Linked DNA regions of Styela clava. The protein of the gene in region 1 interacts with the protein of each later gene in a biochemical or structural test. Links are inferred from orthologs where the notes say so. Each region holds a gene or a part of one and is shown on either strand. Other genes may lie near its edges. The genes, in order: tight junction protein ZO-1-like, kin of IRRE-like protein 1 and junctional adhesion molecule C-like.

The links.
Region 2: the proteins of tight junction protein ZO-1-like (region 1) and kin of IRRE-like protein 1 form a complex in vitro, tested with the Homo sapiens proteins (3 studies listed by BioGRID and IntAct, with this or other methods). The link is inferred for Styela clava from reciprocal best matches to the Homo sapiens genes TJP1 and KIRREL1.
Region 3: the proteins of tight junction protein ZO-1-like (region 1) and junctional adhesion molecule C-like form a complex in vitro, tested with the Homo sapiens proteins (2 studies listed by BioGRID and IntAct, with this or other methods). The link is inferred for Styela clava from reciprocal best matches to the Homo sapiens genes TJP1 and JAM3.

The regions. Positions count from the first base shown.
Region 1 is NC_135250.1:11,488,576-11,499,620, reverse strand, and holds the start of tight junction protein ZO-1-like, read left to right. Parts: upstream 1-6,082; 5' UTR 6,083-6,113; coding exon 6,114-6,286; intron 6,287-7,556; coding exon 7,557-7,659; intron 7,660-8,261; coding exon 8,262-8,488; intron 8,489-8,958; coding exon 8,959-9,033; intron 9,034-10,875; coding exon 10,876-10,962; intron 10,963-11,045. UniProt on the Homo sapiens protein: TJP1, TJP2, and TJP3 are closely related scaffolding proteins that link tight junction (TJ) transmembrane proteins such as claudins, junctional adhesion molecules, and occludin to the actin cytoskeleton.
Region 2 is NC_135253.1:5,791,134-5,801,970, forward strand, and holds the start of kin of IRRE-like protein 1, read left to right. Parts: upstream 1-5,487; 5' UTR 5,488-5,594; intron 5,595-10,837. UniProt on the Homo sapiens protein: Required for proper function of the glomerular filtration barrier. It is involved in the maintenance of a stable podocyte architecture with interdigitating foot processes connected by specialized cell-cell junctions, known as the slit diaphragm.
Region 3 is NC_135253.1:22,953,222-22,963,688, forward strand, and holds the start of junctional adhesion molecule C-like, read right to left. Parts: upstream 5,289-10,467; 5' UTR 5,163-5,288; coding exon 5,117-5,162; intron 2,275-5,116; coding exon 2,148-2,274; intron 1,080-2,147; coding exon 934-1,079; intron 387-933; coding exon 309-386; intron 1-308. UniProt on the Homo sapiens protein: Junctional adhesion protein that mediates heterotypic cell-cell interactions with its cognate receptor JAM2 to regulate different cellular processes. Plays a role in homing and mobilization of hematopoietic stem and progenitor cells within the bone marrow.

The DNA.
Region 1 (11,045 bases):
GCAACCTCTTGTTGCTCGCGGTTGCAAGTCATTGGCGGGCCGCACATATTTTTATAATGTTAAAAATCGAATGAATGACCGATGAATTTATCACACAGATCAGAAGTTAAATTTTGAGCAGCGCGTGAAGACTGACTATTCGAATATTTTTTGCGCCATCAAACCATTTGCACTTAGCATCACCTTTTCTGCGTTTTGTTGTCATTTGTCTAAATTATAATTAAATTATAGCCTCATTAAACGAGTAATTGTGAATTATATACTTGTTACGTTATAATATAATTTGGTCTACATGTAAATTCTTTTGCGTAAAGAATATAATCGACAAAACAGCTATAATTTGTTACTATAATTGAGTGAAGCGTCGCGGGCCGGATTATATTGCTCCGCGGGCCGGATCCGGCCCGCGGGCCGTAGGTTGCCGATCCCTGTTCTAAGTGGTGAACATCATTGATAGGGAACGCTCTGTTACATCATAATTCCACACAACCTCGTAGTATTAGCAGTGTGCACAGTACGATTGCAGATGCAATAAAATTCCGGACATTTGAGTCTTTTTTTAAATTCTTTCGGGACGCAATATTTAACCCTAAATTCCGGACATGTCCGGAATTTTCCGGGCGGTATGGCAACCCTAGAATATATAAATTAATTTAATTATTGCTCATATGCTAATGAAACATCTGCGTGCACGAACAATAAAGTATATTTTGGCGGGACACAAATAATTTCATAAAAGGCATTCCAAATAACTTAATATGTAACGCGCATATGTAGGCTATAAATAAAATTATTGAACGTGAAGAAAATCATGCACTTTTTTTGGTTAGAAGTATCTAGAGAAAGCTAGTATACAGCTGAGACTGAATCCATCGATAGTCGATAGCAATGTTTCCGATACTTAAGAAGGAGGGTGTGGGAAATAAATGAGGAAGGAAAAAAGGAAAGAAATCGGCATCTACTCACCAGTTGTAAAGACAGACAAACTCTGTGGGCCACGCAACAGGGTTTCAGAGGGGCGGGATTAATTACTGTTTCTGCAATGCATGAAGCACGACGCATCAATTGTGGAGTCGTGTAAACGAGACTGAAGTTTTTTGACAAACAGTCAAGATGCACCTTCTGCTTCCATGTAGGCTGGACAGTAAGCAGAGCTTTATATAAAGATCAAAATATACCACCAAGCAGCGCCAGACCACAAACAAATTCCGACATAGCCTACGTGGCGTCGATTGTGCAGTATTATCGTTGTGTCCAGTCCCGAACCAAAACACGGCCCCATTTGCCCGACAATATACCCAAATCCCAAAAACAGCTACAGCAAAAAATAGTCATCACCAAAGCGTCATCCTCTAGCCTAGAGGCTAGACTGCCCCGTCCTCACACCCCACCCCTTCAAAGCTTTTCAACTAACTCGATTACAGCCTTGCTCGTACCCCCAACCAATCTAACTTCATAAAACGAATGCGCTCTCCTATCACATAATAATCTCATTTGTTCTCGCGTATTGTGTGATGTGATAGTGAACTTTACTCCAGCGTCTCACGAATGGCTATAATATAGGCAAAGAAGTCTGAAGAAGAGTTTTTATCATATGCTCTCGGGATATCAGCCGTCACTTAACAAAAAATATCAAAATCACGAATGAGCATATGCATTATTTATGCTACTTTATTATCCGGTTAACCGTCACAATAATAATAATAGCAAAATACTTCTCGGTTGTTCTTGTTTTAGTCAGAAATGTTTTCAAAACCCATCTGCTCTCTTGTTTAAGTCCGAAACGTTCCTCTTGTCTAAGTCAGGAATGTTTTCAAAACCTGACCCTCCTGTTTTAGTCAGAAATGTTTTCAAAATCCACCTGCTCTCTTGTTTAATTAAAGTTTTCAATACCCATCTGCTAAAACTTATTAATAGGTATACTTATTATAAGTATTAACATTTTTGGAACGTAATTTGTAAAATTGCCAAACATATACATTGAGTCCATGAAATTTTTCAAACACTTTCAGATTATGACTAACCTATGAATAAAATTCTTGGTATGTTACTTTTTTTTCAATACTGTGTATCACTGAGTGGCATTTAATTATTTTTCACATTCAGACACATTCTTATCACATTATAATTTTGTCCTTGATCCACTGTGTATATATAGCCAATTTTAATCGCCCAAACTGACCCATTGAATTTAGTAATTTTTACATACATTTCCAACTCATTATTCTGACCGCTTTAGATTGTTTTATTTAACAACACGGGACACCCCCCCCCCCCTCTCTTTTTTCTTACATTAAAAACACACATGCATAACATTGCATTTATCAAAAAAATCCCTAATTCTGTTAAGAAATTAATTGTAAAAATTTTATCGTAATAGTTCAAGTTTTGTTATTGTTCATCTTTCAGTGTTAATCTTAATCACATCAGCGTATATGGTGGGAGCGGACCTCGATGACCGTACGGTCGTATCGCTTCCTCCTGTCCATACCAAAACAATTTTATTTGCTGTTGCTATATTATTGATGACTGTATTTTTTGGTTGAGGAAATAATAAAATCTCTCTCTCTCTCATTATCCGGATAATCCAACCCTACCGAGCACACATAAAACTGGCAGTAAACCAGGAAAGAATCTTTATCACGCCATATACCCGGGATGTCAGTGAGCTCGGCATCTTAAGCCGCAGCCCCGGTACGATATCGATAACCATCCAGGTTTAACACTTGCACAATATGTCACTCGACATATATGAATTTAATGATTGGTAGTGAAATGCAGTTTCTTTTTCCAATCCTAGTGGCAATAAAATGCGAAAATATTCATGTCGAGCCAAATTTAGAAAAGCAGAAGTAAATTGCGCCTCTTTTTTAATAGATTCTAATAGCATGTCCAAGACATTTTTGCTAACAAGGTTATATCCTACTGCACTTTTCGCTCTGAACATCAACGATATGCCGATTCGGTATGCCTATGTCAGTTTCAAGCAACTGGTCATAATTGGGGTCACGGTTTGCTATGTGATGGCCATCTTAGCTCTTTATAACACTTGAACTAAAATATTCACCTCATTTCCGGATAAAAATCGAACGTATCTCAAATAGTTGCTGATATTCACAAACCACCAATTTCTTGTTTTCTTTCTACATCAACCAATCAGCAAGAAGTTAACGGTGGAGAAACGTCCTGTCGCTAGGTCGCGATCGGCTGTCGTAAACCTTTCTCCGTTTTCTTGTGGAAATTATAAACCGACCCAAGCGTGAAATTCCGAGATGCGTCACGCCCAGCATAGTAAATTTCTGGTGATCTTGTGCCTTGGTGTCATTTTGTCGGTGGCGAAATCCACAGGTTTTTATTTTTACATATGTTATATAAAACAGTATATATATATATATATACATCCCAGGAGCGATATTTAGTTATAAAGGTTGGACAACAGTTATATCCTTTATGACGTCATGTGGGAGAATGTGAGGTTGCAGCAGTCGGGCAGCGCCACACAACAGCAGGAAGACGCGGATTTACAGACTGAGGGAGACGGGAGACTAGTCAAATTTATTTACATATTTACTCATCTATTGCAGGATTGTAATAAAGTGCTTCTAGATTTGTAGATGATATTGTTGATACCGGTACCGGTACTTCTTTCTGTACTGCCTTAACAATGTAGTCTACCGGTAATCACAGACTTAACATGTCTATTCTTGGTTTTGTTTTTCGAAATTTCAAACAGATCCGTACTGCCGTAGGTCAATAGATTGAAACTGCAAAACTGACTAAGACTGTAAAATATATTTTAGGATTCCTGACGTTATCCAAATTAACCTGCTAATATGTGCGCCTAGACTTTATCGTTTGATGTCTGATGACAGGGTGAGGAGAGTGTCAGATTGTGGTTATCATTTATTGGCTGGATTGGGGTTAGCAAGTTCTGAAGTTAGATTTAGAAATAAGAAAAATCTTCTTCACTTACCGACTACTGGCTGTTCTTCTGTCTGTCTGTTAAACTATGCTTCGGCGCGGCGGTGTGGCTCAAGGGGCTAAGCGTTAAGGAATACGCTCGCCACCGCACCTCTAATTCAGTAATTACTCTGCGTGGGTTCGCAGGTTCGAATCCTATGCAGGGATGGTTATGTGCGAGAGGATTGCTGGGGTCTAGTATAGTTTAGTACCACAAGTACTTCCGGTGGGCGTACCATAACGAATTTTGCATATGCTATTCCTAACCCCCACCTGACTATGCCATCCAAAAATTACGTCACTACGACGTCATCATCACGTCATAGGGATTGCCAAAGTATAATTACGATCGCCCAAAATGTCATCTGCGCCGCCGATAACGAACTTGCTAAAGCCGACAATCTCTCTCCTATCGTGATCGTTGTGATGAGAAAACGAGAGAAATTGCTTGCTCGATTTCGGGTGATCGTCTGCGCGTTTTGGACGACCATCCGCATACTTCGGTGGGCCTTATGACGTCACTGTGACGACGAAATGACGTAATTTTTCGTTGACGTAGTCAGGTGGGGGTTAGGATTGACATATTCAAAAATTGTTGAGCCAGGTCAACTAGAAGTACATGTGGTACTAAACTATCCCAGACCCGATTGCTGGACTCCTCGCCGTCGTTGGGTGGTTCACGTAACCGCTGGTCGGTTACGGCTTCCTCCACCAACAAGTCCATGCTTCCGAAAACAAACAATATAACTAATCCCATACCCGACTTGGAATGGTAACCGGACGAGAGGCCGTGGTTCGCCATGTGGATAAGCTGTCTTATCGGTTTTCCTCTCCCCCGGGATAAATATGTATATCCTATCCTTCTTCATCATCTAAATGACCTCTTTCTACAGTTCTACTACCAGACTCCCTATTTTGCTATTTCTGTATTTGGCCCTTTCAGTACTGCATACCTACAACCAGACAATGTTTGCATGCAAATTCCTGAATTCTGAAATTACATTTTATCCGTACAGCCGTAGCTTACTATAATTCTGGCTTTATTACTTCCCCTACGAGCTCAAGGATAGTGTATTATTTCCTGTATTTGGGTTACAGGGTTAATGAATAAATATGTCATCTTGTATTTTAGTACTGTAGTACCACAAGTAATTTTAGTGGGCTTGTCATGACTATTTTTGCATATGGTATTCCTAACCCACCACCTGACCACGCCATCCAAAAATTCTGTCACTACGAAGTCACAATCACGTCATATAGCTTGCCAAAGCATAGCTATGATCGCCCAAAATGGTTTCTGGGCGGGCGATAACGAACTCACTAACGCCAGCAAGCTTCCTCATATCGTGATTGTTACGACAAGTAAATGGCTTGCTCGACTTCCGTTAATCGTCTGAGTGTTTTGGACCAACATCCATAAATTTTGGTGGCTTTATTATGTCACTGTGATGTCGTAGTGAAGTAATTTTTGAATGATGTGGTCAGGTGGGAGTTAGGAATGACATTTGGAAAAATTGTTGCGCCACACACACTACAAGGTATCGTGGTACAAAACTACACAAAACCCCAGATTCCGGCGTGCAATCAGTGACCACGACATGCCAAAATTTGAGCCTGCTCACAAACCTACCGAAACTGCTTAAAAACCTGATTTTAAGCTTGCAACTAACAGAAAATTGAACAAACAAGTGTAAAATTATCTGAACGGAACATCCCAACTAGTGCTTTGACGCAGAGTCCTGTCTACCAAACGACCGCGGCGATGCATTTGCGTAGGTCAAAGGTCAATTAATCGGAACAGACAGAACATGATAAACAATTTCATGCAGGAAACAAAAAGCCTCACGTTTCGAAGGAGGCCCCTTTAGTTGTTAATCGCATAATAGTCATGGGTATTGGCGTGTTCGTGAAGCCAAAAGGTCTGTTCATAATGTTAGAACTCGTCAGCCATCATTGGTGGTTTTGTTTCATTCCACCACCCTTCAAACTATAACTCACTCAGAAATCTAGGAGATTGATTTCTGGGCAAAGTTAAGGCGACCACTAAAATGCCATTTGGTTCAGTCTCTTTATGTGCATTATATTTTTCATTATCTATCTTTTAAACTATAAATATCTTTACATACAAATAGTTTTTATACAAATAGTTTAAAATGAGCGAAGAGGTTATATTCCAAGAACACACATATGAGATAGCAAAACAATCGGATGTAGGATTTGGAATTGCCATCAGTGGTGGGCGTGATAATCCAGCAGTAACAACTGGTGATCCAGCAATCATTATTTCTGATGTTGTGAAACATGGACCTGCCTTCAATAGACTACAGTAAGTTATTTCTTGACTTGTATTTATACCCTGGTGTGGTTAAATTGTGAAATCTTGAATTTAGAAGGTTGAAATGAATATAAATAGACTGTTATGACAAGTTGCCGATATAGAATATTTTCTAAAATTGGACACACTCTATTTAAATCCGTTTTAAAGTGGAGAAATCACGAGTCAGAGTTTCAAGATACAGCAAACTTGTTATGATATATTCATCTTCGTGTGTTTTTAATAGAGTTTTCGAATACACGCACACATACATATATATATATATATGCTATATTTAAGGTTCAGGGTTAATAATACCGTTTTATAGATTTTCACAAATGCAACCTATAGTACAATCTGTATCTATAGTGGCCAAGTGTTTAATCATACATTAGATTTACTATAAGGTCATCACAGGTTAAAATCCTGGGTTTTAATTCCATGACCACCACCCTACCCAGGGTGTAATAAATTCGGTATGCAGTGTCGGACAGAAAGCCTGCCTGCTTCTGCAGAGCCTTGTTCAGAGCGGAAGGCATATCTAATGTACGAAAAAATCCAATCCGATGAAATAGTGCATGATTTTTTTAACAAGAGATGCATTTACCAAATGTTGTGTTATTCATCTGTAGTGTTATCTTAAGTTATGTTAGTATAATATTTGATGTTTATTTATGATTAAGGCATAAAATTGTTCTACTGTATTAGTCTCATATCTTGTATATCTTACACTTTAGTTTATCAATGTAAAATTACTCAGCTTAACTATGAGTATTTTTAATATCTTACATCGTTTTGATCTTTGATGGATATGAATCAATTAACATTGACTCTTCACCACTTAGTTAATTGCATTTTCTTTTAAGCTATGATGGTACAGATGATTGTACTTGACCTATGTTAAAAACCCTTCACCTTGATCAATAAGTATTTACCGCTTTGTATATTAAAATAATTTATCATAGTTCAAAAGAAGTTGTCAATAATTATACACAACAATTCCCTGTGTACCAATCATGAAATGTATATTGAAGTTGAATAAATGTTCAGTGGGTGAAGATCATATTTTTCGCTCTTACTTTATTTCATTAATCTCTGTTGGCTTTATGGGATTCGATTTTTGTGTGTGATGATGTCATCAAAATTAGAATTTTTGCAGGTTTATTGTGACAGATTGCATACTTCATTTTAGCCTCCATGTTCATATATTCAAGCATCGCCCTTTTGTAGATTTGTGAGAAAATTAAATATTTTTTTTCCAAATTATTCTTTTATTGTACAGGATTAATGACACAGTGACACGAGTAAATGATCAAATTTGTTATGGATGGGCACACCAGCAAGCTGTCAGAGAATTGAAAAATTCTGGAAAAAAAGTCAAAATTGTAAATATAGCTATTTGATTTTGAAACACTGGTATTTGTTTTATAAATACGATTTCTTTATGCGGAATCACAGAATTTCCGCTTGATAGAACAACTTTCACTGCAATGTTATAGCACAACGATGCACAATAATTACACATAAAACTAATTATACGTCTGGCAGTCAATGCCCCGCAGGCAAAACAGGGGTATTTAGTTACATCATTTTTGTTATAGTTCGACTGAAGTTAAATTTATAATATGACAACAAATCTTTGGAATATATAAATATGTGTATATGAATATACTTTCCAATAGTGAATATTGTTATACAAACTGACAAAAGGGTATTATTTTTCATTTTTTTTGAATGTTTTGCTAATATTTTGTAACCGAATTTATATATGACAAATTTATTTTTATAATTCTTGGCTGTTCTTCGCAGTCTAGTGTAATTATATAGGATTCAAACTTCAATGGCATAGTAATGGTCATAGATATGTGAACATAATTTAGTGGAACAAAATCAGAATTTACTGAAATATTTATGAAATTTTTTTTACATCATATACAACATTTTTAAACAAAAAATTCATTCATCAATACAACCAAAACTTTTCCAGACCGTCAAAAGGAAAGCTATTGTGCGTGTTGAGTCTCGCGACACACCATCACCTGGTCCTTTACATCGTAGCAGAAGCAGAAATCTGGACAATATATCATATGGACGCCACAGATCGAGAAGTCGAGATAGATCACCTCGACGACGTCATCGATCACATAGCCGTGATTTAGACAGTTCATCACGAAATAGAAGGAGATCAAGGGGGAGAGGTACAAGTCGAAGCAGGTAAGCATCTCAGGTTCATATCTCATTCCCCCACCCCATCCAGGGTGTAATAAATTAGTAGACAATGCTGAACCAAAGAGTCCAGTCCTTCCAAATAAATGACTTCTTACCGTACATAGCGTGAGATATTAGTGGCCGCTTATATAGGGCGGTACTAAACACTAAATGATAACTTAGGCATTTATATTGACATTACATTTTTTTTCGTAGTTAGTAATATCGTTTTATAAATTGACATGTGTATGTGTTAAGTTTAATCAGTGTGAAGATTTCCTATTTATAACATGGAATGGCAAATTCACTCATGCTGAAAATTATGCTACACATTTGGCAAATATTGTCTGTATAATTAGGATCTGTAATTGACAGGTAAAATAAGCCATGGTTTAATATTGATTACAAAATGCGTCATTGATCAAATCAATGTTATTTGATTCCTATTTTGTAAATTTGTGACCTTTATTTTTAAGGAGCCGTGGAAGAAGTTACAGTCGTTCACGTTCAAGATCAAGCCGTCACAGTAGGAACTACAGATCGCCTTCCAGGTACAAAGTTACGATTTTAAAAAGAGAAAAACAAAATGTTATAAGCAGTTTTGGTGGTCAAGTTTGGCATTGTAAAACAACCCTTTTGTCTTATAAATGTTGGTTATGCATTTTGATTAGGCTATGCTGTAATTGTAGACATTGAAAAAGGTTCTAACAATGGATAAGAATAGATGATATGATATGTTACTAGTATGCTTTTCACCCAGCTTCTTACCCAGTGAACCTTTTTAAGATTTAGCACCAGTTTGTAGTTCCTGTATGACTGCTTCTCCAAAGCTTCCTTGGTGGAATTTGCAATCTAAGATATATAAGTGTTGAAATAGTGAATTTTAGATGAAAAATTATTATTGCTATTGATCATTTTTCGCAAAAAAAATGTGCCATTAGGAGTAAAAAATATTACGATTTATCTATTATTTTTCAAATCCAGTAATAAGTTATATTTAACTCATGTAAGGCTCATGGGTCGAAATGTTCTTGATTTTTCTTCAACTGTTGACTCGCCGATTTTATTTAGTAAATTGGGGCCATTATTAATAAATAAAGAAATATTCTAACAAGTTTTCTGCACAGCAACTCTTGTTTGGGGAGAGCCCATTTTAGATTCATATAGACAAGGACATTGAGTAATAGACACTAATTAGATTTAGAATCTGGTGCATTTTGTTGGTAAACATTGAATATAAAGTACCTAAATGTCTAATAGAATTTGTAAACATTATATTCAAACGTTTTTAATCTAATAAACCAAACATATCCACCTATCTTAGTCATAAAATTTATAAAATTTTGTCTTTTACTCGAATAACATCAGGCAATATAGGGCCAGATGTTATGTTAGGTAATCAATTTTGTTCATAATTTTTAATTTTATGCGCTTCTTTTAAAACCAGCTATTTGCTTGAATATCAGCTTGAATATTTGAATATAAATATTATTAGGATTTGTATGGTCATTCAGCGCTGAACAGCTCTCTCTTGCAGACAAGCATTTCACGCTTGACTGACTTTTACCACTTGATTACTTTTGACGGGCGATAGGCTCTCACCTATTTACGGTACATTGATCCACATGAGTAATTTTCTATGATTTTCAAATCTTGTGTCAACAATGGCGTCGATGCGATCACGTTATGTAGAACTATTTAAAGTCATTCAACTGCGTTGTATGTGTTTATGTAAGGATGGGCAAATAGTAAAATTTAATATTTTTTCAATCTCGATGTATATATATATATACATAATAACAAGAACGACGAATAACAATAAATTTTATATCATTTCATATTCAAAATACACATTCAAATACTCCTTTTATATTTTGAGATTTGAGAAATTCACTTTAAACCTAAACAGAACAATATCCACAATTTGTTGTATTGAGATTTCAAATTCTTTATACCAATGATGGAAGCTAAAATATTGACAATAATAGGAATCACATAGAATAGTTTTATTTGCAAATCTGTCATTTTGAGCAATTAAAATAAACAGCAGCAACGCTGAAAAGGTCCTATTTTAAAATTTGATTTCTGTGATCTGTAAAAATAAAAAATTAAAAAATAAAGTCTATGTATATCTATTTTTCTTGTATTTCCCTATTCAAAATCTATGTATCATTTAATATTAAGCTTAAACTCAATTCAGAATATAATAATCTTTCCATACTTAAAAATATGATTTTAGAATATAATATTGTATTTGTATGTTATGTATTTATAAATGCATAAAATAAAAAATGCATGTCCACATATAAAATAGGATCATGTTGTTACAAGGTACTCGTTTTCAATAATCATTCAATTTCTTATTAACAACCTAATGTCTTTGTTATATTTAGCTCTAGTCGCAGTCGTTCTCGCACACCACCAAGAAGAAGATCGCAATCGAGGGGAAGGTCGCGATCAAAGTCTCCCCCTAGGTCGAGGTAATTCATTATTTATTTTTCATTTTTTTGGGGGGTTACTCTGTGCTACATTTTTTATTAGGAAGAACTAATTTTCTGAAAAG
Region 2 (10,837 bases), on another chromosome or scaffold:
AATGCTCGACGAGGTTCTCCATGCTGCTCATCAAGTCCTTTCATGTATATTATTACTATCTAGTGGAATATTTATCGAAATCTTCAAGGTAGCAAGCTTCCTCTTTTTAAAACGAGTATCATTTCAGATATTGGAAACTATTGGCCTATTAGTCTTTTACCGTCGTTTTAGTACATAACTTAAAGACATTTGAAGGCGAACAACATGCTATGAACCTTTCCCCGACCTTTGACCCTCGAAAAATTCCTCCTATACTCTACCATCGCAAAATTTTCGGGGCTATTTTAAGAGTGCTTTTGCAAATTGGCGCCAGTAAAATGGGGTATGTGTTTCAAACCATCATCATGATTCATCACATACAACAATCTGTTTTTTAAAAGTACCGGTGAAGAATTTTAGCCTAATATATGCTAGCTAATTCTACACTAATTTTTCATTACTGCAAATAAATTAAAACTACCAAGAAGTCAGAGTGATCATTGAATTATCTGATTTATATTTAAGTTTCCGAACAACTGAAAACTAACGAATGGAGTTCAAAAACTTGAAAATTTGTCTGAGTGAGAAAAGTGTCTGATTGGTTGCGAAAGGGAGCATTGTTACGTCACTTTTTGCACCTTGCTGATTGGCCAATGTCACAAAGTAAACAAGGAAGTCGATGCTCGGGGAAAAGTCCATTGGAATATTTCGAAGGCATTTGACACCATTGGCCACTCTATCTTTTTAAGTAAGCTCGGTCACTATGGAATTGTGGGTGTCCCATTTAATTGGATCAGGAGCTACCTACAAGAAAGAAAATGAGTTGTGCAATATGACAATTCATTCTCTAATAATATTTGCGTCATGAAGCACGGAGTTCTTCAAGGATCTTTACTTGGCCCATTATTCTTTCTAGCATACATAAATGACATGCCTAGGTGGGTATCTAGACTGCTCTGAGTCGATTATGTTTGCTGAAGACACTGATTCGATTATGTACGGGGAAAAAACTATTCATAATAGGAAACATAGACTTGACCAACGTTCATAAGTGAATGTTGGTTAATAATAAATTATCTCTTAATGCCCATAAGACCAAATTAGTATTATTTCATCCAAGCAGACATGCAAATGCGAGTTGCTCAAAACCTTTGCTGCTCAATGGCAAAGAAATTGAAAGAGTGAGTAAAATAAAATTCTTAGGAGTTGTCTTTGATGAAAATCTCTCTTGGAAATCACAAGTTGCGCAAGTTATTATTAAAACAAAAACAAACTTGGCAGTCGCTGCCAAAGTATACCAGGGTGTCAATCAATCAGCTCCATTGTCGCGGACCATAACTTCCGCGTTTATATTTTGTATATATCGTATATATATTTCATGTTTATAGACTGTGGAGAGTGGAAAAACTGTGTCTTCTGATCTCTTCCTCCGGCCGACGGGCTGGAGCCTGGAGGTCGGCTGCGTTTTGTTGTGTAACTGGCCAACTATTTCTATACCCGACATGAACTAGGAACCGGACCAGAGGACATGGCTTGCCACATGACTAAGTCGTTCTATTGACTTTCCTCTCCCTACATGAAAATCCTATCCAGTTGCTGCCATATATACCTGTGTGATAATCATAATAGATAGAGTACATGCGCAAATAAGTAAATGATAGTGACACTACCGGCACCCAAGATTTGTTTTCGCTGTTTTAGATTTGGCTTCGAAGTGAGAGTCGTGTTTTGAATCCCCGTGGCTCGGGAGTCGAATTCAATTTATTAGCTGGTCTGGCCCGAGGAAACTGTTTCCAGTAGAGATGCATCGGCAATAGCGGCCATTATTCTGTATTTGTATCGGTCTCGGATAAATGTAGACCGATATTTTCCATATATTAAGATTTATCATCTAATTCTAATCTATATTGTATTAACAGATAAGTTAGTATACGGATGTCGATTTTTTTTCATGGAGGGATCATGTTCGTGGTATTTGACTATAGTTGATGAGCCATGCTCGTCCCCACCCCCGCGAGTAGAAGCGAGAACAAGATTTTTTGAACAGGTTGATTTTTCAATGTGTAAAATACGACGTTATATTGGCACAAAATCCTGCGCACGTAACTTGAGGTATCAATTTGATTGGATGAGTAAACGTTTATTCATTTTACCATCCATAGTAGCCAAACCCTATGAGTTTTCTAATTGAAAACCGAGATTACTAGCTTCGGTACACAATGCATCTGGATCACAAACATCAATTTCTTATTATCTGGATTAGCCTATCTCTTTTCAAGCCTAAATGATGTGTACTATGAATACTGCTCAGACTCACCTCCACACCTAAGATAATAATTACATGGTATCGGCCAAGGCTGCCCAACCCGCGGCCCGCCGAACTGTTTTTTGCAGCCCGCCCTATAAAGTTTGTAAGCAGACTTTTTATGTTTTTACTATGTTATATATCAATATATAGGGTTAGGTACGTTTCTGATTTTGGTGTGATTATTCCTGCCATCTGTCTACATTCAAATGCCGGTTCTTATTATTACGTATGTGTCAAGTCTCGCACCCTGGTGGACATCGACGTCAGTTTTTTTTTTCTCGCAGAACTGAACGTTCTGTTCGACGAATTCGAAAGATATTGTGCGATCACTGAGGACGAACGCTGAGCGCAATTATAGGAATGAATTTGGAGCCTAAATTTGCGAATTAGTTTCATTATGATTGTTTTCTTACGTGTATGCTTTGATCGTCTTTATCGCCAGCGTAAAATAAAATGTCAACAATATCTTTGGTACTGGTCCTGGGACTCGTTGTCTTTTTATGTTTGTATTTTTTTTTATCAAATGTTTGGGTTAAATACGATTTCGGAAATATCGTCACTGCGTATCCGTCAATAATTCTGATAAAATTGACTTAACGGCATTACCGCATATTGGTCACAAATCAGTATATATAGGCTGTTCGCCCAGAAATCTTTGTAATGTTACTTCAATATTTGTATTGGTGTTTCAAATTTTACGAAACGGCCCACCTAAACTTGATATTCCCGCAACAGTGGCGCACATTATGCTCATTTAAACATTGTTCACGCCCCGTGTTACCAGATATTCGAATTGTGAACTGCTATTCTAATATTCGACGAGATATTCGAGTTATTTGCCAGCCCTACTCAGTGACCAGAAAACAGTAATTAAATTGATTGATTTGATGTTAATAAACTTGCCTTTTATTTATTATGTAAATTACCCACACCGAAATCAGGACTTAGCTGGTAGAGTATTAATGTTTGGTACAAACGTTTGCGGCCCGCAACGAATTTCGTCACTTGAAAGTGGCCCGCGAGACGAAAAAGGTTGGGCAGGCCTGGTATCGGCCTACGACCATACCACTTGAATGCACCCGATCTCGTTTGATATCGAGAGTTAAGCAAGGTCGGACTCGGTCAGAACTTGCATAGGTATCGGCGTTTTTTCGTTGGTATCGGATCAATATCGGCAACAAGGTGCTATCGTAAGTATCGTTGCATCTCTACTTTTAAGTAGACTCCAAGTGTGACTTACACTCGCCACCTCGCGGTGAACCATGTTAATTATCGTAGTTACGAAATATGCGACAGTGAACCATTGTGCAAGCACCAACGCACTAAAACAACCTTGAATTAGGCAAAAGAAATAGGTAAGTATAGTATTAATTACGGAATATAGGAGGGTCAATTCTTTTTTCCATGAAAAGAATCCATGTATATATCGCTGCAGTAAAACCAAAGTAGCTTACGGTATGTCACGTTTTTCAGAAATAGATTTTTTTTACATATCTGTTGTTATGGATCAAGGACCATCGTTTAGTCTGATTTTCAAAGCTGTACCTGTTTTAGTTAGGCCTTATGTGATTTTTAGATTTTTCCAACCAAACTACTAGGAAAATATGATTTCTCAAAACCTTGAAATAAAACATAAGCTAATAGCTGTTCCGAATCGCCGACTTAGTTTACCTCCAACTAGTTTGACAGTTAATGTTAGGCTATGTTCGAATGAAGTAAAATTTTCTACTTAGAACGCACAATTACTATTAAAGTTGGCATGTCTTGCTGTAATTTACTCTGATCTATAAGAAATGAATTACGACTTGAACATATCCTTCAAATTCAATTATGGGTGACTCCGAAAGCAACTTTTGTACGCCACGAAATGTCGGGTCGAGGTTAAAGTCAAGCAAGTACGACCACATCAGCTTAGCTGTGGTTTCGAGGAACATACATTGATCATGAATTAATGAGCAATGACGAACTTGGTACAGAGGCATGGCAGTTTCATTTGATTTATCTGATTAGGCCTACGTCCGGCCGCTTATACTGAGGCATTTATTGACTAGAAGAGATATTTTCCCCGAGAAAAAAGTTGATGAATTTTTCGAATTCCATAAAATATATTAATTAACAGTTTTTTCTTGCAGTCACAATTCAACTAAATTAATTTGGTCGAATTTTTTGTCTAGAAAATTAAATCTAATTTCATTAGTATATATATAGGAGTATAAAACAAATGATACGGATCGAAAGAACCTCTTGAAGTGTGTGTTTGTCGTTTGTTTAGTGCTTTCATATTTGTCATTTAGTACTGATTAGCACAAACGTTTTAACAAGCCCGAACGTTAAAAGTTCTCAACATTGAATCACGTTACCATAAACTTTAGATCGCGACATGCCACCACCGATGGCTTCTACTAAATACGTCGTGCGCGGTCTCGTGACTCCTGGATCATTCCTATTCGTAGATGTTTCGTCTCAAGGGACATGGAAACGGCTGATTTGGATCTTGTACAGTCATGGAATGTTTATTGTCGATTTATTACCATTGAATGAGTTCAATGTACCAGGCCGAAACTTTCGAGATAGAAAAAGATGCAATAATGGCGCCATAGTAGATGTGATTATTTTCGTATTAAATATTACATTACTGGCATGGAATATCCTGTTCCTCAAAAAGATTTATTAATAAATATCAATTTTTTTCGACAAGCTTTTCAGTTTGAATGGAATAAATCAAGTGTAATATTCATTCGATGTGTGTAGAAATTCAGTTAGTGTTGCATTCAAGTGTATTATTAGTATGACTTTTATTTTAGATTTTTACCTATTGATTTATGGGTTAAGTTAGGCCTTTGAAACAATGGTAAATATAGATTCGTTTTGATTTTAAGGTTCGGTACTGAGACGACATTAGCATAGTTGTAGCTATTTTATAAAAGTTCACTCTACACCAAACTTAAAATTTGGTATTAAGAGTACAATGAAAATATTTAATAAAAATCATTTTATTTTATGCTTTTTCTAAATTAGGCGTATTCGAAAGTCCATAAGTGGAGCAGCGCAAAGCAAAACTAAATTTAATTTGGTATTGCGGTAGTAATTTGTGAGTTGTCTGACAAAATAATCCTCGAAACAGCTATAAAAAATTTTTTCTAAAAACTGAACAAAATTTATATATTATCTGCATTTTTATTTTATATTACCTGAAACATAGTTACTCTCCGGTTAAAATAAAAGGTATGAGAAGGGGTTCGAAAGTTTTGTTGCTTCAAGAGGACAGATGTAACAACTGAGGGAAAATGAATGTATTCGAAAACAGGTAAGTTTATTTTTCTGTTTAATACAAAACTGGACAATTCAAAATACGCATAGAAAAGAAAATAGCAAATTCAACCAGTTTTCATTCACGCTGTGGACGTTTGAAACATAATATACACTTGATAGTCGGTATCGATACTCATCTTCTATATTATCTTGTCTAAAATCAACACCTGATTTATATTTGGCAACCTAACTAGCCGTTTTGTTAGAAACGATTGAGGCCATATAATCATCTTATTTATATATAACTAATAGTTTACTATATTTATCTCAAAATAAACCTCAGCCATATGACTTCTACCTGTTTGTATACGATCAACATGGTTAACATTCAACAATACATAATAATTCAAAATTGGTCAAATTTGAAACATTCATTTTTAATTTGCTTCAAGAAAACATTGATATACAGTGACATAACAAGAATGAGATGATATTTTGAACAAGAGGAAACCAAGGCAAATATGACTGATTGTGGATAATGGAAAGTCCATGCGTCGGTTGCGCGGCGTTGACAAAATTAAGTGCTCTGCACAAAAAAACTGCTCACTTTTTTTTAAAACTTCTCCTATTACTAATTCCGCGTGACCAAAATGAGTTACATTGAGTCCGACACGAATGACATTTCCTGCTGTTGCCACTTATTTGTCAAACGACCATCATTTGTACTACAAATTGGATATTTACCGTACCTAATGTCCATTTTTTATTGAAATGCTCCCAGGCAACTTTATTCGATCACTGCAGAATGTCATTAAAAGCATAATTGGTTGAATGGTTTCATTAATATTATTCATATAAAAAAGCTTTTGTTCATTTTCGCCATTGCCCTTGTTCGTAAGAGGAGCCCCACGTTGACCCATCACTGATCCCTATTAACTTGCGTTTCCCAGTGTCGACATGGGTCATCGATTAGGTTTGGTTGAAGTATTCTCATTAGTAAATTTTTTCACTTTAGCGAGCCATCGTTTTCAAAAACAGGAAAATATTTATAAAGAAAGCCTTTAACTAGTTAACTGGTGCAACGATGGAAGATGTCATGTATACATCACTGCCTCAGTGATTGCTTCGATTCTTCTATGGCCCAGGGGTGGGCAAGGTTTTTGAACCAGGGGCCAAAAGTCCTGCCCACCTAGACTGGCGGGCCACGTAAGTGTGACGCAAAAAGTTACATTTTCTGAACAATATTTACAGTGTTACAAAATCAAAAGTGGAAAATAATAAACCTCGTGCCAAAACTAAATTTAATCGTAATCTTAACAAATTCTTGAAGCTATTTTTCAGCGAAAACATCAAAATTTGGTTTTAGTTTGGTTGTGGCATCATTAGGTGGGCCAGATTCAATTACCCAACGGGTCGTATTTGGCCCACGGGCAGTAGTTTGCCATGCCAGTACTATTCCAACTTCAAAGGAGAGTAACAACTAAATATGAATGGTCGAAACTGTGCTTTCTTTTTAGAAAACTTATCTGGTTGAAGGTATTTCATATCATTTAGCATTAACAATTCTGTAGATGCTCTTTTGGATAAAATTTATTAGTGAGAGTTGATTTTATTTGACAGAAAAAAAGTCTAATCGAACTTTTTACAATGTCAATAGTTCATGTATATATTTTCAGGTCAACTTCAAACCCGCGCGACGGGGCGTATAAAATGCGGATTTTATTTTATCCCTTTTAAGTTTGTAATATAATGTTTAGAATAGCCATCTGAAGGTTGACCGATGTCTATTATGGTATTATTCAGTCAGTTTGTCGAAGCATAATGAATGACATATGATGTATACAGTATTAATATGTATTATGTGAAAAAAATCACGGATCCCTAGATAATATATGTTTTCGCTGTATCAATGTAGGGCTGACACTTTTTCTATTATAATTGTTTTTATAAACTCCGTTATACATGTCTGCACATCACCCGTAACTCAATTAAAATTTCACTCTTGACTATTAGATCAATGAATATACTGCAGTATTTCACTTTTCGATTATCATTGAGAGTAGAAACTTGAAATTAATAAATTCATTATGATCGGTGATAATTTGGTATTCTGATTTTTATTCTTTATTATACGTTTCGTGAATTCATCTAGGTAAATTGAATCTTGTATTAATTATCGTATGTATACTTAACGCTACGGTCTGCCAATTTGGAAGAAAAATCTGAAAGCTCGTCATATATACAACTTTATGACAATTCCATTGCATCTATAAATCTCTTTCCGGTTCAAAATATATGCAGTATGACTGGTGTTTCTGATTAATTGTGGAAATATAATTTAACCACTAAAAATTACTCTGTTCGCATACCCGAAACAGAGGGGTTTTATAAGATGAATCCAGAATTCTATTTGACTTGCATCTCTTCCTAACAAACGCTGTTAACTGCTTTTATTCATTTGGGAATAATGCATGAACTGCTCGTTCCGATCGTGCTTCATCAATTTCAAGTCAAGTTTTTATTTTCTATTCAAGTGCATGAATTATCTTCATTTGTGGTTGGATTAGTAGTCACTTAAATTTTCATTGGCCAATCTACTGAAAACGTTGCTTTGTTTTCACTTGGTAACAGCCTAGTCCACGATCATCGTCCAAGATTACATATTTCTTTCTTAGTTGCCATGAATAAATGATGAAGTTCTTGTAAGGCTCTTGGGAGAGTAGTTGAACACAGGCAAGTCACGTGATCCATTAATGAATTAATTATTTTGTTGAAGTTTTTAATGCAAGATTAAGGATAAACCCAATAAGTCAATTTTATAAATGGATATGTCCTTTAATTCCTGTGTTTTGACAGAAATATCCAATGACGCAATGACAAGATTAAAAAACAAAAGTGGCGTTTAGTGTTTATAATTCAACTTGTGTAATCACATAAATGAAAACTAGGAATGTCCGTTACCACCCTGTCATTAGAATTGGTGCATTTCTGGCATAAATACAAAATGTGAAATTATCGTATAAGCGGTATTTTTTTGATTCGTTATTTTCTCCATAAAAGTATAAGGTCGTTATAGTTATACCCAAAAAACCTATTTTGATTTTTTGACGAAGAAAGAAAAAAGTTAATCAAGAAACTGTCTACACCAAAGTATTGAAAAAAAGTTTGTTAAAAGCGAGTAGACATTAACTCTCCCTCTCCACTATGTCTGATTAATAATTCCGCCAAAGAAGTTTTATAAACTGAAATATTTACTGTGATTTTATTTCAAACGTTTGCGCTTCAATTTATTGGCATGCGGTCATGATTGAAGGAAAATAACAACAAAAATTTGACGTGTTCGATCAACCGCTAATTAAAAAAAATTGAAATTTGTATTCGGCCATACACAAAAATGTACAAAAAAAATAGAAAAATTTATGTTTCATACCTGGTGGTCAATAAACACAAAAATCACAATGTTATTTATAATGACGTCATGGTATTTTTATGTCGTTTCAGATGAGATTATACATATGAATTAGAGTAGAAAAAATATATATATCATTTTTTGTTTAAGAAATTATGCAAATCACTATGACAACCTGGGGAATACGTGAATATTTGAACCTTAAAAACTGTTGGTCTTGTTCCGGTCGTTGGGTAGAATTCATTTTAATCGAAGAGCACTAGGTGGCGATATGACGGTATGAAATCAGTATATTAATTAAGTATGGAACAGGCGACAGAAGACGCGCCTTGAACGAGGTCACCACACATTTATTATCCGCAATAAATTGTTGTTTGGCAAAAATTCCCTTATATAACTCTGGTATACAGCAAATGACAAAAAAAAACATAAAAAATTTTTGTGCGCTTGTAATCAACACAGTTGCTTTGCTGGTAGTATGAAGTCAACGAAGCGAATTTAATGCTTCCAACGTGTTTGCACAACTACATTTGCTTGTTGGGAATTTGTATTAGAAATAGCATTAAAACATTTAAGAAGTCTGAAAGTTTCGAAAATAAAATATACAAATGAACATTTTCTGATGAAGAAATTTATCACTTCTGCTGGTTGCTTTCTTGGTGATTTGTTTTAAATATCCGCCATGCTCAATATATTTATACCAAGATGTTTCAACCGGTATCTACTGAAATCTCCGTGTTTCAAATGTGACCACATGCAGCTTTCAGATCGCTTGTATATGCATATGACTTCCGTATGCGAATATAGTATCATCCTTTTGAAATGTGAAATCGCGAACTCAATTTTAAGCAAATGTACATAATAAATCAGGGCATAGAAAATGTATGAATTTCTTACTTTACAAGACAGAACCAAATAATATTCGTTGCAGGTTGAATTTTAATAAGGAAACGAATTGAAATTCATTTCCGTTGTTAAAATATCCAGTATTCATATATTAATAATGATGAATTTATCAACGAACCACCTTAAATTCCAAAATTTATATTAAAACTGATAATAGCCTCCCGTTTGGACAAATACCATACGCCGCCTTCACAAATACAGGTACCAGCTGCTGACAACATGAGTATTAATAAATTTATGGCGAGTACAATGATACTGAACATGGTGAAAGGACCACTTCAGAGGTTCATAAGTATGCATACTATTAAATATGGTTGATATGATGCTGCGAGGACTCTTCTCGCCTCACCGACGCTATATTTTCCATTGTTCTCATTCTCTTTCACAGATACGAATTAAATTTATGAAAAAATTTCTACTATATTTTTTATTTTATTGAGTAAATATATTAGAGTGCTTATGTATTGTATGCGTTCATAATAAAGCTTTGTTTGGCTTCGCGGTTCCATCATAAACCTTTCAGCAATGCGATAAAGTGGAATGAATAAATTTTTCAAGTGCGAATTTGCTGTGAAATTTTTTAAACTCGTATCTATCCGTGTAAGATAAACTAAACACTAATTATACATGACCTGTCATGAATCGAAGTTTACATTTATAATAGTTATCACCGCATCATATATGGCCAAAGATTGTTAAAATACGCTATAAAAATATTTAATATCTATCCGTTGACGCTTGTTCATTATTGAATAGTCTACAACACAAACACCGTGTCAATATGTGTCGTCTGTATTGGCATATCCGAATAAAATTACATTGGTGAAAACCAAATTTTCTGTCTGTGTACTTGACTGATTCCGCACTAGCGCACAACGCATGAGAAAATTCGTGAGAAAACGTAGTTTTTGATATGGTAAAAACGCGAAATTACATCTACCCATATATATATATATTTATATATCAATAAATGACTGGTAAAT
Region 3 (10,467 bases), on another chromosome or scaffold:
TAGCGCTCCAGAAGTATGTGTACCAAAATGGGGGTAACTAATTTTGTTTGCCTACTTCACATCAAGTTGTGTGAAGAGACTGAACCCTATGGGCAGGGGGTATATTCACTTGGCTAACATGGACAGTCCTCGAACTCGTAAAAGAACTAAAATATGGAAAATTGAAATAAAATTATGGCCTAACTCTAACCTGGTACACATACTACGAGAGTTCTTGACATTAATACATCAGTGGATTCTTGTACAATTCATTGTTCAAAGCAAAATAAGTCTCAAATAAACATCAAATATGAAAAAATTGAACTTACCATAAACAGTAAAGTTATACATTCCTGAACCGACTGACGGGTTGTCTCCTGGGATAACCACTCGGCATGTGTAGAAGCCTGTGGAAATCAAGTTTAAAATTACGTGTTTGGCCATGCAAATCAGGATTGCCATTTAGGGTTTTGCACTGGCTTTTTCTGCGAATATACGCATTAAAATAAAAAAAAATTTAAAATATAAATCACAATATTTGGAATCTGAAACTTATCTTAAAATTACCTTATCAAATATTCTTTCGAAACAAGATCTTTAATGATGATAGAATATGGGCGATTATATTATCGAGAAAAGAGATTCATCGATTGATCAAGTTATACAGGGTGTCCATAAAGTCCCTTTACAATTTCAATTTTTTTATGAAGTCAGTACTCAATACATCTTAACCAAGTTTGTTGTTTATTAATCAGTAATTGTTCAAGTATTTTTACTTCACTCAATACATCTGTGAGGGCCAAAACAATACATGGTATCAATAAACTACCTCAGCAATTTCAAAAAATTTCAAAACTTCATGGACACCATGTATCTTGTTTATTCTGAAGATGTTATTTAGAAACGAAAGCTTATTCTTAGTATAATATTGAAGAAGATTTTCAAACACATTACCTGTATCTGCCGAAACAAGATCTTTAATGACGATAGAATATGGGTTCTCCAGTGTGAATCTGTCTGCGAGTCCATCAACAATCTTATTTTGGTAATATATATGCGTTCCAGCGGAGTTAGGAACCGTAGAATACAACCATTCGAGACTGAAAAATCAAACAATAAATAGGGGTTAAATGGGTAGCATAAGTGAAAACCTTTGTAGAATGTGTAGCCAAATATAAATTGTGGAAATTATTAGTGCTGTTGATAAATGCGATCAATAAAAACACTACAGATTCGGGGCTCCAGAAGTGTGTGTACCAGTATGGAGGTAACTAATTTTGTTCGCCTACTTTACAACAAGTTGTGTAAAGGGACTGAAACCCATAGGCAGGGGATATATTCACTTGGCTAACACGGACAGTCCCCTTCTCGTGAAAGAACTAAAAAAAGGAAAATCAGAATAAATAATAAAAAATGGCCTAACCCCAACCTGGTAAACAATCGTACTCTGGGACTTGGGAGTACCAAAGATTTTGTAAACAATATAAACTTTATTACGAAGGAATGAGAAAATTTGAACGCAGTCGAAAAGCCTAAGCAAACTCAACAATTAGTTTTCTATTAGGCTTTTTTACCGGTTATAAAAGTTGAAACATTCAAAGTTCTGCTTTTAGTTTATGATTTCAAAAGGAATTCCGTGCATGATAGAAATTAACTATTCTTCTAGAAGATTACATTAAGTTCCAGAAATGCACAGAACAGCGAGAAGAAATTATATTCAATGTATCGAATTTTTGATTTTAGAGGTTTGAATTCAACGATTACTCAGCATTAGAAAAAGTGACAAAATTCAATTACTGAATTTGCTAGACTACTTTATTTTTCAAACTGAAACTGAAACTGAAATAGTCAAATACTAGAACAACTATTTCATAAGCTGTAACAAGCATAGATTTTTCTCTCGCGACAAAACAATTTTAAATTTGTTTAATATAAGGGATGTCATGTACGAGAGGATTTGCTGGACTCCTCGCCGTCGTAATGTGGTTCACGTAACCACTCCTCCACCATCAAGTTCATGCTCCCGAAAACTAATAGTAATCCCATACCCGACATGGAATGGTAACCGAACAAGAGGCCGTGGTTCGCCATATGATATAGTCGTCTTATCGTTTTTTCTCTCTCCTGGATATTTATGTAACTCCCATCCTATTGTAAATAATGCTCACCTTGGTTCCCCACTCTGCACAGAAGCAGTTGCACTACATTTCAATAAAACTGATTGGCCACGTACTTCCGTTTTAATTGCAGTTCCTGTTTGTCCATTTTCCAAACTCACTCTGACTCCAAAAGTAGCTAAATACAATTTGATAAATATTTTTCACCAAGAGAAAAATACAAAAATAATTAGACCAGATTAGTGGTTTTCATACAGTGGGGCTCGCGTAGACAATTTTTGGGGGGCGTGAAGCTAATCAAAAATAAAAATACTTGTTAGATTTGATCTTGCCGCCTTTTATTGGATATCTACATTTCCTTACTGTTTAGATATTGTGATTCCATTCACGTATTTCCATGTGTTTTTCTAATAAAACGAACTTTCGCCTTACTATCTATCTGTTATTTGTAGCTTATTGTTAGCTAGTTATTTTGGAGGTGGGGCGCGAGACTTGACAAATTCTAAAAAGATGGCTTAGAAAAGTTTGAGAACCATTAGTCTAGAACTGGGGTTCCCAAGCTTTTTTCAGGACGACCCCAAAGACAACTTTCAAGTGTCCAGTGCGACCCCAGGTCAATATATATATTTTTTTCATGAAACTTCACAGCTTCTTTCCCTGGACTTTTGAGTTTGGTCATGTGGTGGTATGAAGTAAAATAAGCTAAAACCGAACAGTGATGTCATAATAAGCACGTACATTTTCTATAGCTTAAGCATAGAGCGATGCCTATGGGCCTGTTTTACAGTAAGCCATGGTACAAACTGCTAAATTTAACATGGTTTGTCAAATCTTAGATGATTTGTACATCCATCCTCTACCATACCTCAGCGACCCCACGAACTGTTTGCGACCCTACCTACTTATCACTCCGACCCAATTTGGGGTTGCGACCCCTAGTTTGGGAACCCCTGGCCTAGATTAACGTTTTCTCAAACTGTGTTCAGCGGAACACTGCTGTTCCGCGAGTTTCTTTAGAATGTTCCGCAGAAAAGGGATCGAAATTGCAACTAATTAGGTCGTCATGGCAATCTCAGTCGTACTTTGGCAACTCGGGTTCGTAAATTTGTCTCCCAACTGGCAAACAGGTCTTGCTATCCGACCAGGTGAACATGTCTCTTGTCAGTCTGAAAAGCATGGCGTTTTCGGTAGAACCATATTCGCTGTTAGAATGTGTGTGCCATATACAAGAAGGTAGCGAATCACGATATTTGAATATTAAATTTGAATTGAACACCATTGACTGTAATAGATGCGTGCGCCGTGTTACGATTTGTGGAAACGGCGTATATGCGAATTTTTATAAATTCACTATTTTGAAGCTATTATTAGGGAGTCGGCTTATCCGTGTGATAGGCGTATAGTCGAGAAAATACGGTATATCAGCTTGCATTATTTTATATAATTACACCATTCAAAGAAATTCTGAGTCAATTCAAACACCCAAATATGGGTACTCCTGAAGTATGTGAACCATGATGGCGGACTCGAAACGTAGTATGTGTACCAGGAGGGGGTTAGGCCATAATTTTATTCTAATTTTCCTTATTTTAGTGCTATTACGAGTTCAGAGACTAGCCAAGTGGCTCCTGTAGTATTTGTAACTGAAATTATGGCGTAAGCCTAACCTGGTACACATACTACGTTTCGTCGTCCGCCATCTTGGTTACATAGTTCGGGAATACCAAAATATGTTTAGTCATCCATGTCGAAATAGACCGTTTCCTTATACCTTTATGCCAGTGGATACAAATATACTGACTGAATGGAAAACATAGAAAGAATCAGCCCAGCCAAATTCAGTGATGCAAGCCTTCTAAACAACTGATAATAATAAATTTATGTGATTAGATATTTTAAATATATATGGTAACTATTTATATTAGGGTTTAGGGCAGTAGTTCCACCCCTTTATTGACTTGTAGCCCCATCCCAGGGGATTTTAGGACCCATGGGCCCCCTGTGATGGTATTGATAGTATTACTTTTGATTGTCTGATTCTAAATCCCATTATGTTCAAACAATTCATGTTGAACAGGGTGTTGTGAAGTAACCTTATCAAGCAATAAAGCTAGGAAGAACAGGGAGAATTTATGTGTAAATGAAATAGCACAATCAGTTGCGCCTAGCATGGGGCCCCTCTCCAACAGCTCTGTGTGCCCCCTTGGTATGGGCCCCCGTTATTGAATAACATTGAAAGATTAGAAGATGACGCGAGTATAGGAAGAACAATTGAATTTAAGCGCTGAAATTAATGTAAAAGCAGAAGGGGAAAAATGTGTTGCAGCATTCACGGCCGCACGAAAAAAGTGCTGGAAGGTCCTAAATTTCCGCACCCCATGATCTAGGTATCACTGTGTTTAATCTTTAATGCAAATACACAAGATGAGCGTAAACTAAAGAATATCCTAGAATAGGGGTGGCCAACCCCTGGCACGCGTGCTGAACTTGGCACGCGAGCCCATTTATTCGGCACGCGAGCGAGCTTTCAGAAACAAAAACATTTTTTTCAGATAAAAAGTTTTAAGACTCTGAATTATCTGTTGAAACTCTGCGTCCGTTTAATCACTTTTGTTTGTTAACAATCCGTTATTTATTCAAATTCTTTTTGTCCATTCATGACATATGGCTTCAAAGAAATATATTATGACGTCACAACTGAGTGAGCTCTCGACAATTTGGGTCGGCACTCGTAAGAATTTTGTCATTGAATTTGGTCGATTTTGGCACGCGAGCCGGAAAAGGTTGCCCACCCCTGTCCTAGATATTAGAACATTGGGTGTCGCTGCTTGATGACCAGCTTGGGTTCCCCGCGGCTTCCCTTCCTCAGTATAATGTGTATTCAATATTATTTATTCGTCTTAATTTTGCATGTTAACTTTTTTTACTGGATGGAAAAAATAAACTTGACTATGATTATGACTAAATTTATCTGATTTAGAATGTATTAAAATTTTAATAATCATTAACTAGAACCGTACCTTGTATTAGTAAAGCCGTTGAAATTATCCTAAGTAGTAATCCCATTATTGTCTTTGAATAAATCCACACAGATTAATAAATCCAAAACAGTTCCCACACAGAATAAATCCAAGTTGCATTCCTAATAATCTGTCTTAGAAGTCGCACTTAATTGAGCGTAAAAGCTGATAAACTCTGTTGAAATAAAAATTAGACTCGTCAAGTTATAGGCTTTATAGGGTTTTGCTTTTTCGAGGGGTACATTAGATTGGGCATAAGAATTAATCATTCAATAACTTATAATATAATAATATAACAACTTAATGCCTTATAATATTTTCAGTGGTGTTCCCTCTAAGAAAACTAGTTCTCCCGTAGTATGTGTACCAGGTTAGGGTTAGGCCATAATTTTATTCCGATTTTCATTATTTTAGTTCTCTTACGAGTCAGGGACTGGCTGTGTTAGCTAAGTAAATAATCCCCCCCGCCCATAAGTTTCAGTCCCTTTACACAACTTTCACCCTGAGCAAATGTTTGTTTTAGTGAGTTTGAAAATCAACTGATATTAAAACCTTGAAGACCTTAGTTCAACAACTCTTTAGAAAGTCACATTTTCATCTCAGTAGAAACTTCGGCGCCCCAGAAATGTGTGTACCAATAGAGAGGTAACTAATTTTGTTTGCCTACTTTAAGGGACTGAAACCTATGAACCTACAGGGGTGGTGACTCCTCTATGACCCATGGGCCGGAGCCACGGCCCATCTAATTGGGCCACATGGGCCGTGGCCCCATCAGGAAAAATTCAATTATCTTACCAAAATTTTCAATTTTTTACAAAATTGTAAATATTCGAACCAAAAAAAATCGTGGGATGCTACCAAATTTTTTTTCTTACGATAAGCATTTAGATAAAAATAAAGCATAATACCAAACTACCAAAAAGGATACCCCTGCAGTATGTGTACCAGGTTAGGGTTAGGACAAAATTTTGTTCAGATTTTTCACATTATAGTTCTATTACGAGTTCGGGGAGTGTCTGTGATAGCCAAGTGAATAATCCCTTTACACAACTTGATGGGCCGCGGCCCATAGCCTGATGGGCCGAGGCCCAATTCGATGGGCCGTGGCCCCAGCCCATGGGCCTTAGATGAGTCACCACTCCCACTCCTATGAACAGGGGTTATACTCACTTGGCTAACACAGACAGTTCCAAACTCGTAATAAAACTCAAATAAGAAAAATCAGAATAAAATTTTGTCCTAGCCCTAACCTGGTACACACATTAATTTACGGGACTACCGAACTTCAATTACAGTAACTAACTACCGAGTCTACATTAGCAGTTCACATAGTTATTTTGTCCAATCATAGCACACAAACAGCCAAAGCAACTTTCAGTCTAGTGTAGTTTCGAGTACTTTTAGTGGGTGCAGCATAACAAAATTTTGCATATTTCAATCCTAACCACCTGACTGCGTCATCCAAAAATTATGTCACTACAACGGTGAGACCCGCAACTTTGAGGTGACAATAAACCAAAAACTTCATTTCATACTACACTACAATTAAATAGGAATTTTAGCGTTGAAGTCGCAACTTTTAACAGCATTTTCCAAACACATAAACCTGCAGATCCACAGCACTATTGAGCTTATATTTCAGTTTTCCTCCTCGCCGATACGACTATGAAAATCATGCATCATTACATAAACTTATCAAAGCAATGATGTCTCAGTAGCTAGAACATCTTATAGCGTTTCCTCTTGACCGAGATAATACATTCTATCTTAAAACCAATCCGAAGTACCCTAATAGCAATAACTCAATCAATTTAGATCTCATTGCCTTTCATCTCCACATGCTGCCATGAATTTCTTCAATTTTACCTAAAACCAGCTACTACTACCTACAGTACGGCACACTATACCAATCGGGTGACATTGTCCCGTTTCAGAGAAACCCATTTTACAGATGATCAGACAATCCTATTTACCAAAGGAAAAAAAATTGTACTGTAGCTTTCGAGAGTTTTTAGCAAAAAACAGCAAGTTTGGTCATGTGATGGCCGCGATTAATTTAGATTATTATTGAGACAAGCATGGCGCGATATGAAGCATCTGACGTGGTCCCGGACGCCCCTCGTTTGTGAGACATATAGAGTGTTTGTTTTATTGAGCCAAATGGAGGGAAATTCTTGGAATTTGCATAGTGCGCTGTACTGACCTACCTAACAAACTGTCAATAGCAATTTCTCGATTTTCCTCTCCCCAAGATGTATATGAATAAAATTTTAATCACAAATTGCTCATCACAACCCTAACATTAGTAGTAACATCAGCAATTGCCATCTAATCGTTTTTACTTTGCTTGAATTTGAAGTAAATTTTGTCCTAGATAATCTCATTACTAACATAAGAATAGCGAGAATTTCCGAAATTAACATCTTGTCAGGTTTCCTCCGCCAAATGATGTATCAAAACCTATCCTAAACAGCTGATTAGTGATAAAACAATCACAACATCTTTAATATATCCTGTATGATGCAATTCATATGTTCAATGAAACCACGTGCTTTTATATTGCAATATTATGATATGACTCATACGCATTCAGCAATACTACACATTTGCTTGTTCTATTTATAGGCTATTATTTATGCTGCGATATGTTTGGTTGAAATGGAATTTAAAACTTGCCCAAAAGGAAAATTTTCCATTTTGTTTGAACTGAAAGTTAATAAAATAAAAGTCATAACATGATTGAAGCATGTTTTAAAATTTTATTTATTTCAGTATTTGTGATTTTTATGTCAGGTATGTTGACATGAAACTAAACCCTGCTGCCGTGCACAAACTCGCCTAATCCAAAATGTAGTTAAAATTGAAATCAAGTCCGCCTGATTAGCTTTCCGAGAATGTTTTATTTCTGTACTTGGTATCATCTCATTTTTACCTTGCCAATATTTTGGGTTATGTTAAATTATTTCTTCACTTTCCCCTAAGAAAAACCGCAGTGGGGAAATGAAACACATAACCAACTAAAAAGATAAACAGAGTCAAAGACAACATATCATTTATTGTCCAAATGGCGCAAAAAATGCTCATTAAAACATTCATGTCTGCATGTGGTGCCAAGTTAACATTTCCTGCAAGTTTCTGGTCTATTGGAACATTTTTATTGAATTCTATTAGAATGATCTATTTTTCTGGATATCTGACCATTGTCTTTCTTTGCTTTAACTTCCTACAGTCATTTTTCTCACTGCTCTGTAGCAAACAGTCATTTTTCAGCAAAATTTCCATTTTTTCAGCAAAAAACTAATGAAGCAACATTAAAAAAGTTGAGAATATATGTAGGCTACACATACTGACATAACAGCGCTAGCTATAATAATTGAAATTGGTCATATATACGGTGATTTTTAGCCAAGATATGGACTGAAGTTAGGCAATTTAATGATAACTTTTACAATTTAGAAAATTGTAGTTTTTCAAGTGAATTCTTTTTACAATCGAAGATAAAATGGTTTAAATACTGATACAGACAATAAAATTTTTCTTTTTCTTATATCTTTTTCAGTAATGCAGTGATGTGCTACGGTACTTGCCATTTAGATATATAGAAGATAGTATTTACATATTTATCCCGGGGGAGAGGAAAGTCGATAAGACGACTTAATAATATTGCGAACCACGGCCTCTCGCCCGGTTACCGTACCAGTCCAGGTCGGGTATTGAATATATTAGCCAGTTATTTTGTTTTCGGGAGCATGTACTTGATGGTGGAGGAAGCCGTAACCGACCAGCGGTTACATGAACCACCCTACGGCGGCGCCAGCAATCCTCTCGCACACAATCATCCCCGCATGGGATTCGAACCCACGCAAGGTAATCAGAGATGCGGTGGCAAGCGTATTCCTAAAGCTTAGCACGATGCGCCACACCGCCATTTCATTTGTTATTGAGCTAGAAATATTTCAAGTTTCATAGTTCAGTCTGTCAGTGGCTACAGTACCCAAATAAATATACTAATTGCTGATACTACAATACTGCAATAGCTGAATAGGGGAACACTGCTGCACAGTGACCACATACAGCCAGCTGTTCTTACATTTCCCCAGCCTGCCAGTCTTACTATCATATGCAGATATTGACAGAGTTATGGAATGAATGTACCGTACCAGTACAGCAGTACACTGATATTCAGAAGGCTGATAATACTGTTATACTAAAGTACTATAATACTAACGCCAACAAAATAAAACAGGCATGCCCATAATAAACCAGCCCCTACTAAAAAATATCGCAGTCCAAACTAAGTTACGGTATACATCTAATTAAGATATTCCTGTCAGCGACGCCTTTGGGAATTCACTTCCAATCAAGCAGTGAGATATAATCGTGGTAACGCTAAGTAGCCGAACAATTCTGATGTTTAACTAACTTAGTCATACAATTCGAAGATCAATACAACTTTGGCAATAATGTCACTTGGAGCAGACAAAATTAATCAATATTGTTTTAAAAAAAAGTTCACAAGACATTCCGCGGTCGCCATTGCTAACAGCGCGGTGTAAACAAAAGATTTGAAAACGGCGAAGCAACGAAACGTTTCAAAGAACTATACCGGTATCGGTATTGTGGCCCGTAGACTATAATAGTAAATATGACGTGTATTGCGAACCAAATTCGATTTTTTCATATATATTTTTGAATTCCGACTACTGTTATATGTATAATACTAACAGAACAATAAGTAGCCAGGTTGCTGTACCCCTAAGATTTCCCTGTCACTGTATCACGTATGTACACTGTCTGATTGTGTTAAATTAGGTGTATTATTTTCGATAAAATGCCGTATTTTTTTTTTAAATTACGCGATGCACATTATTCGCACAAATGATAGCACCTATCTACAGTCGAGGAATGTAACTATTCAGCTAACGAAACAAACAAAAATCTGGCATGCATTCTACATTTTTGAGAAACCGACATGGCAGCGATTAATCCCGAATTCTGGTGAACAAATGATCTAAAACTCACTCTGGGGTAAATTTAACTACTTAATATGCCTCACGTATGACAGATAATGACCCAAAGCCCAAATCTACACACGAAGCCTAAAAAGTAACGCCCACGACAACGTTACGGATCGAGAACTCGCCCGACGCGCGTTATGGCGAGAAGTACAAGACATTCAAAAATCCCGTACGAAAAAAGCGCGATGTTGACGTAATCGTCGTCTGCTTTGTTTGTCAGTATGGAGAAACGTCTCTTTCGTATATATTTCCATATTTGGACGACATGAGAAAACGCGCTTATAAACGTTGTTCTGCTTTATACAAATGAATACATGGGTTTGATTATTTCGT